Cricetulus griseus: one gene and its partner. The protein of the gene in region 2 interacts with the protein of the main gene of each other region in a biochemical or structural test. Links are inferred from orthologs where the notes say so. Each region holds a gene or a part of one and is shown on either strand. Other genes may lie near its edges.

Evidence for each region.
Region 1: the proteins of Chml (region 2) and Rab1a form a complex in vitro, tested with the Homo sapiens proteins (2 studies listed by BioGRID). The link is inferred for Cricetulus griseus from reciprocal best matches to the Homo sapiens genes CHML and RAB1A.

What each region holds. Positions count from the first base shown.
Region 1 is NW_023276807.1:86,262,595-86,266,777, forward strand, and holds the end of Rab1a (ras-related protein Rab-1A), read right to left. Parts: intron 3,572-4,183; coding exon 3,476-3,571; intron 1,841-3,475; coding exon 1,709-1,840; intron 1,365-1,708; coding exon 1,167-1,364; 3' UTR 547-1,166; downstream 1-546. UniProt on the Homo sapiens protein: The small GTPases Rab are key regulators of intracellular membrane trafficking, from the formation of transport vesicles to their fusion with membranes.
Region 2 is NC_048598.1:18,011,664-18,015,977, reverse strand, and holds the start of Chml (rab proteins geranylgeranyltransferase component A 2), read right to left. Parts: upstream 2,951-4,314; 5' UTR 2,702-2,950; coding exon 848-2,701; 3' UTR 1-847. UniProt on the Homo sapiens protein: Substrate-binding subunit (component A) of the Rab geranylgeranyltransferase (GGTase) complex. Binds unprenylated Rab proteins and presents the substrate peptide to the catalytic component B.

The DNA of each region.
Region 1 (4,183 bases), on a different chromosome or scaffold from region 2:
GTTCGAGGCCAGTCTGGTCCACGGAGCAAGTTCCAGGACAGCCAGAACTACACAGAGAAACCCTGTCTCTAAAAGCAAAAAATAAAAATCCCAAAAACTGGGGTAGGTGAGGTGGGGTGGGGTGGGTGTGTGGCATCTGCCAGAGCATGGAGGAAGCACCAGCACATGTTACTAGATCACTGCCTGGGAGTAAAGCATGTGCTGCTCTCCATCTCTACCACAGATGCATGAAGAAAGTTTGAGTGAAGCCACTTCAGACAACGGTTTTAGAGCTGGAGATGAAGCACTAGAAAGCACACATTCTAAACTTGTTTTCCATACACTCTGAGCTCCTTGAACCAATGAATTTGGTTCAGTCTACACAGCACAGAAGCTTCTCTAGGTCACTTAGCAGGTCTATTACTAGAAAGCAAATACTGGATGCTGTGCTATTATTAGATAGGTCTACAGTGCCCTTGTTGCACACACAAATTGGCTGTTGAGTATAATGCAAATCCCTATTTCCCTTTAACCATAAGAATTAAAACAATACTTATCACCATACAGTTTGATATTACTTCCAATAAGTACAATATTTATTAAACATATCTTCAGTTTTGTTACATAGTGTGCAACAAATTACAATATTCTGCAGCCACAAATTATATGCAGAGTATGAAGAAACTATTAATCAGATAGTGTAATCTTTCCATTTATAACTCTACAAGGAAGAACTAGCAAATCAGATCTTACATATAACGTCTCACTAAACTTTATGCATGGAAATTGACAGACACTGGTTGTGCTGTTTGATACAAAATGGCTGAACTTCATCTTCAGAAGACTAAACCCAACATCTAAACATGCCAATATAAACATCAAAACAAAATATATTCTAACCAACCACGGGAAACAATCTGGTATCAGGAAAGCAACAAGGATTACACACATTATTTTATAAACCAGCACACAAAGGTTTAAAACAGTTCTGAAAATGAAGTTAGCTGTCTTTGAGTCAAGGGAATAAAAAAAAAAGTCAGTATTGACCATTTACAATCTCTGACCTTGTGGAAACGGTAAGAATCTGTTGTAGTGCAGCTACATACAGTACAATTCAGGCAATTTTGTTTTTTCACTTGGGTTCAGATTGCGAATTCATTGCTGTGAGAAAAGGACGGAGGCAAATTTTAGCAGCAACCTCCACCTGACTGCTTGACTGGAGTGCTCTGGATTTTAACATTGGACTTCTCTGCACCACCAGCTGTTGCTCCAGGGCCCATTCGCTTTTTAATCTCGGCTGCCATCGTCATGAAAGACTGTTCTACATTCGTTGCATTCTTAGCACTGGTTTCCAAAAATGGAATTCCAAGGGAATCTGCAAATTCCTGAGAGAGTAATAAGGAACAATCAACACTGGAAAACCTTTCTAACTTGCTGTTAATGCTTTCTGAAATGGGAATGAAGGACTAAATTCACTGGCTTTTAAAAGTTTAGCCACTGTATGACTCCCGTCCCCATAATTAAAATTCAACTTGAAAATCAAACCTCGACAGGTGGTGGTGGCACATGCCCTTAATCCCAGCACTTGGGAGGCAGAGGCAGAAGGATCTCTGTGAGTTCGAAAACAGCCTGGTCTACAGAGTGAGTTCCAGGACAGCCAGGGCTGTTATACAGAGAAACCCTGTCCCAAAATTAATTAAGTAATTAGAAAATCAGACCTCATACATACCTTCGCTGTTGTGTAATCTACTACTTTCTTTGTGGTCAGGTCACATTTGTTCCCTACCAACAACTTGTTGACATTTTCACTGGCATAGCGATCTATCTCTTGCAGCCACTGTTTAACATTATTGAAGGACTCCTAAAGACAAGAATGATGATACAGTTTTGGATGCAACCAATGATCAACTGATAACAGCTCATTTTGTGGCAACTCTAGCTATAACTATAATGCAAGAAAAGAAATGAACTAATATATTACAATGACAATGTTCATCTAATGAATGATAAGGAGGACTGGCAGGCTTGAAGTGAAAATAGCTTATTTGGGAAGGGAAACAGTTTAATATTTAATGACAGGCAAACCAATTTTTTCTTTAAAGATTTTATTTATTATGTATACAGTCTTCTGCCTGCATGCAGATCTCATTCAAGGTGGCTGTGAGCCACCATGTGGTTGCTGGGAATTGAACTCAGGACCTCTGGAAGAACAGTCAGTGCTCTTAACCGCTGAGCCATCTCTCCAGCCCCCAGGCAAACCCAATTTTAAGTTGAAATTTAGATATTAACAAAACCTAGTTTCTGAAATTTAGTAGAATTCTGGTTTTTAAACTGAGTAGTGACACAGCTTTTATCCCAGAACTAGGGAGGCAGAGGCAGGTGGATCTCTGAGTTCTAGGCCTGCCCATTCTACAAAATCAGTTAGTTGCACGTCAGCCAGGACTACCTTAAGGGAGATCCTGTCTCAAAATAAACCAAACAAAAATTAACAACAAAAACTGGTCATGAATAACAGCAGTGTTACTACTATCAAAAAGATAACTGTTTGGCCCGAGGGTACAGTTCAGGGACTGACTACTTCCTGGCATGCAGAAATCTCTGAGCTTAAATGCCACTACAAGATAGTGAGTGGATGGGGAGGAGAAAACTAGTTTAAAAAAAAAAAAAAAAAAAAAAAAAACTTTTGGTGAGACCTTTTCCTTTTTCTTTTCTCAAAAATATTTTATGGTAGACTGGGAGTGATTGCACATGCTTTTGATCCCAGTGCTTAGAGGGCAGAGGCAGGCAGATCTCTGAGTTCTACAGAGTTCTAGGACTGCCAGGACTACTCAGAGAAACTCTGTCTCAAAACACAACAAAATAATGGTGATAGACTGGACGTTTAAAAGTAACATGTTCTGGGCTGAAGAGATGGCTCAGTGGTTAAGAGCACTGACTGCTCTTCTAGAGGACCGGGGTTCAATTCCCAGCACCCACATGGCAGCTCACAGCTGTCTGTAATTCCAGTTCCAGGGGACCCAACACCCATGGCAAAACACCAATGTATATAAAATAAAAATAAAATTTTAAAAAAGTAACATGTTCTGTCTGCTCTGGGTGTTGGCCTTTTTGAGATGTGATCTGCTGTGTTGTGCTGCCTAGACTGGTCTCAGTCTTCTGAGAGCCTATCTCAGCCTCCCAAGTAGCAAGAACCCAGGCACACGACATCATGTTAATGTAGCATTTTCTTTTCCTGCCCACATTCACCCATCTTTTGCTCCTAAATGTCTTCAGTTATTTCCAAATTGCCCATAAGTCACAAAGAGTTGATTTAACATTTGCTACAAGAAAAATGAGTGCTAATTTTTATTTTTTTTTTTAATTTCTCAAATGGTAAAAATAACTTTCAGATCAAAAGTATTCAAGGACATTCTGTCTACATAATAATTTCCAGGTCAATCAGAACTACACAGTGTGTCGAAAATCTACACACATACAATAGTCTCTAGGAACTCACCTGATCTGTCACATCATACACAACTATGATGCCATGGGCTCCTCTGTAGTAACTGGAGGTGATTGTTCGAAATCTTTCCTGGCCTGCTGTGTCCCACTATTAGAAAAGAATCAGGAAAGGCAAAACAATTTCATTACAACAGACTTGGGAAGTACAAGAGGAAACTGTAGATTATTAGGATCAGACACAACAGATCCTAATTCAATGCTTACATTATTAAACTGCACTGCAAGTATCAAATATGTTAAAATCCAGAAGCAAAGACATTGCCTACAATTTGGCTGGTGGTACTGACACCAAATTCTAAATTCTTTTATGCTAGGCAGTTGGCAAAAATAAGAATCCAGAGTCCACAGCGTACTCCTTCCTGGCTGCAGCCATTCATCCCAAATCAGGTTGTTCTGCCATGCCCTAGTGGGAAAAGGAGGTGTACTTCACCAAGTGAAAGTACTTCACCTCAATGAGCACGGTATTGACAGAACCAACGCTGGCTTTGTTCCTTTCTTTCTGGCTAAAACTAGACTGAGACTCAAAAGACTATGAATATGAAGATCTACGATTCCAACCTGACTCTTATCAATGTGCCCCTCTTGCTCCATGGTATAATAACTAATTTTAATGAAGATCTGGCCATCACCACTAAACATAAAAAGTGAAAGGAAAAGACTTACAACACCTGGAAGTAACAAACAAAGCCCAGCAAGTTGA
Region 2 (4,314 bases):
TTGTTTTGAAATGAGTTTCGACACAGTAGCCCAGACTGGCCTGGATTTTACAGCAATCCTCCTGTCTCAACCTCCTGAATGTTAGCATTACATGAATAAGCAACCATACCCAGATTGCAATACATCTCGTAAATAAGAGGTTCTTCAAACGACTAAGGGGCACTTTTTTTTGTAAAGTAGCAGGCTAGCGTAGTCTCACTGCCTCCTCAGTGACAAAGGTTAAAGCAGGTGAAATCACATGTAAATAGCAGCCCCAAGCCACAGGCTCATGCATGGCCAAGCTTCTAACACTTGCTTTTTTACCATACTTGTATTAGCTGCTACTCCTACTACCAGCCCTGTGTGTTTACATAATATACAAAAAACTCACTCCGTTTATGATTATGTGTTCCTCTGTGCACCCGAGGTGGTAGCAACAGTAGTAGCACTCTGTGGATATTAATTTTTGTGTAGATAATGATAAAACCTGAACACAGAACACAGAAGACGATGCTACCTTAAGTTAAGCAATGTCGCTAATGTGAAACCCAAAAGTAAAATAAAGCTAATGACATTCAGAGATTCTGGATTCCTGTAGCCAATTCTGAAAAAGGTGAGTCACCACAAACCAGATGCTGACAGATTAGCAGAGCTATTAGGGTACCCAGTGTCTTGGTGTTGAAGACATGTGAACAGCGCTTATCACAAATGGCAGCTGTCTTTCAGTGACAATATTGTGAGACCAGGATGAAAATACTTCCAGTCAGTTTTAATTTCGAAGGTGTTCTGTGCTTTACAAGTCCTTGCTGTGTCCTTGGGGTGTCTAGCTGGATGGTAAGTGTGTTACTGACTCCAGGATGTCTGCTTGCTAACCCTCACCTTCAAAGATAATGTCTTCTGGATTTGGTGGAGGAGGGCAGAACTCTTCACTGGGAAAGATCTCCTGGAACAGTGTTTCCGCTTGCTTAACGGCATGCTCATTCCCCAGTCCACAGTCAGGCCCAGAGCAGATGTACACATTGGAAGGTAAACCATGGTATGAGCTTCGGCTCACTCCTGAGGAATCTCTCATATTAAAATAAAGGGCCCACAAGAGTCTTGGTTTTCTGAGTTCTTCCTCATCTGTTTCTGCTTCTGCAAAAGGAATGAATAACTGCTTAACTACTGGTTCCAAGTCTTCTCGGGCTGTTTTTGAAGAAACACAGGTCAGGTGGACCAGATAGCTGTCCTTCATGCACGTCATGGTTGATGAGCATAACTCCATGACCCGAATTGAGCTGCTTCCAGGCTCTAGTGGAGGCACTACCAGAATGGAAATTTGATGGTCTGAATCTGTCTTTAGGATGGACTGATCTGTGATAAGCACAGCCCTCGAGATCTGCTTATATTGCACATTTGAACAGGTTTCCTTAGAAAGGTAACTGTCCTCCACAATAAAGTAGTTGGCACTTATTCTCTGACCAAAGTGGTCAATGACCCCTTTACATCTTCCAGAGTCTTTATCAACTACAAGGCATTGGACTTTATGGCGAAGACAATAGATTCCACCAAACACTGCACACATCCTGCAGAAACACTGGGGGATTTCTCCTTGGCCATATAAAGGAAATATAAAGGGAGTGTTGCCAAACCGTCCAAGACACTGAAGAAAGGTTTTTGTTGCTTTAAGACCATCTAACGTAGTGCAGGATGGTTCTGATGTCATTGCAATTGAGTGTAGTATGAAATGTTGGAGGTTGGGCGTTAACTTTTTAGTTTTTAGGTACTCAGAAAATGGGCATTGTTTGAAGTCTTGGTATTCATCAGAATGCTGTTCATAGTCTAAACAGAATGTGAGGAATTTCATTAGCATTCTCTTCTCAACCACGGTGAGCGCTTTACTACTAAAGACATCTGCTCTGCAGCAAGGCACCTGCTCTACCTTCCCGTCCCGAAACGCAAGGATCCTAGTGACATTCTTAAATTCTGCGTAACGACTAACGTTTGATTTGATGAGAAGATCAATCAATGATCCTTGAGAATACAGCAGCTTCGATACCAAGTCAATATTAAATCTCCGGCTCTCCTTAATCATTTGAGGGTAAGTAATCCTGTTTCTCTTTGGTTGTTTGCTGTTGTCTTCTATATCAGGTTTGTCTTCATCTTTATCTCCATCTGAAACTGTCTGGATGCCACCATCCTTTTCTTGATCCAGTGAGTTCTCTGCATCAGTTAAGGATGGTGACGGCTCCGTATCACTTCTCTCTGTGTGTCTAGAAGGTGCTTCGTGGCTTGAAAAGTATACTGTGTACCCTTCTTTGGGCAAACCTGCAGAATCCAGAGAGTCAGCCAGGGTAGCAGATGCCTTTGGGGAAGGACTTCTCTGCAGAGCATTGTTCTCTTGAGTGCTGTCCCCATCATCTTGACTGGCGTAACAGAAGACTTCTGTGTTCTCAATAGTCTCATCTTTCTTGCAAAGAGCGATGGCGTCTTCCGTTTCATGGATCAGGTCTTGCCACGAGGCAGTCATGTCTTCCTCGCTGTCATGGTTCTGTTCATAGTCCTTCAGCCAGGACAGCAAGCCTGTAAAGCTGAAACTTGCCCAATTCCCTCCATAGTAACTTCTGGAGTCAACATGCAGAACTCGCTGTCCACTTCTGGAACACGCAGCTGCCAGGATGGACTCAGGCAAACCTGTCCCTATAATAACTACATCAAACTCTGTGGGAAGCTTGTCTGCCATCCTAGGAGCTGAAACTTCAGGTCACAGCTGATGAAAGAACTCTGTATGGAACTAGGTCGAGGGCTCCTCTGAGGTATTTATGCTGTAATAAAATCTCTACTTGGGATCTTCAATCAGGAACACTGAGTTTGCAAATCCTAAGCTGTTTAACGCTTAACAATTTTTAAACATTAAAAAAAAAGTCAGTAGCATGGAAAACACGATAATGCATGTAATCGTATGTGAGAATACTCAAATGGATGCGTCCTTTTCATTTCTGCATTTCACCTTAGCGGGAAATGTTACCATGCATCACATGTGCATTTGTGACTGGAACTCTCCTCTGAAAGAAGAAAATTCAAGAAAAGAACACAATGATAAATAATATAAAAGCAATTTCATGCAACAGCAGTTTCAATCCACCGGAGTCTGACTTGTTAACGTGGCTACAAACCTCTACCCAAAGAAGTCATTAAATGCTTTCCCATAGGTCTTCTTAGTTCTTGAAAATGAACAAAAGATATTTAATATATTCTCTCCCCACAGCCCAGCAATACTGTCATAAGGCATGGACACAATATCCCACAAAAAATAAAAAAATTATACAATTATTTGATTGTTAATTATGTATCTGGACAATACTGTGAGCTTAGACTAAAAGAGATATGTGGCTTTACTGTGTTTATGCAAACATACTATGCTGAGTGAGCATGTCAACATAATGGCAGATATTTCTGTGGTCAGGAACATTTGCGGGTAACCCCAGACAGCTGCATAGGAGATTTTACATCCTGAACTACCCTAAGGATCTTGCAGGAGATACATGAGACATCCAGACATTACAAGAGAATTAATTCAATAACTGGCATTTAATGTATGTAGGTATGTAAAAGAACAGGCCTGAGGGGAAACAGTTTTGTAACATTTTCTGTGTCAAAGTACATGTGTAAGTTAAAGTTCTTGGTTTCCTGTATTAAACCATTTCAATATAAATAACATCTATTCATAACACCTAAGTGAGGAGACATTTACATTTTGCCAGACTGTCTCTGCAACTACGAATCTCTCTCTAAACATGTTTTCATTTCTAAAGAAGAAATGGGAAAGGACTCTCCTGTCCCCTCCCATCACATGCTGGCTATCTCCATGTGATGCTGGGTGTGGCTGGAGGCTGTTCCCTTGGACATACTCACCTGGAAGTCGGCAGGCTGGCACACTCACACACCCCACTGCCAGCCTTTTATGGCTCACCATGCATAGCAGCAGCAAGTGTTCCTTGGCCTCTACTTTTCACTACCGTTAAATCTGCTGACCTCTAGATACAGGTACACCTAAGAGAATGATACTTCTGATATTTACGAAACAAGCCATACAAATGGAATTTACACGAACTTCACTAAGTAGCTGGTCCGACCTGTCAGTTTAACTGAAACAGTGATCCTAACAAGCCCAGCTGGTAGAAACCTCGGACCAAGATTATCAGGGATTCTACTTATTTTTAGCTTTCTTTGAGAAGCCAGGATGAGAGCCCAGAATGAAGCAATTGCTTAGTCTACTTGTGTAAATATGTAAGAATAGGTGAATTACTTACTCGCCCTTCTTCTAACAGGTTGTAAAGAGGGAGACAGAATCTA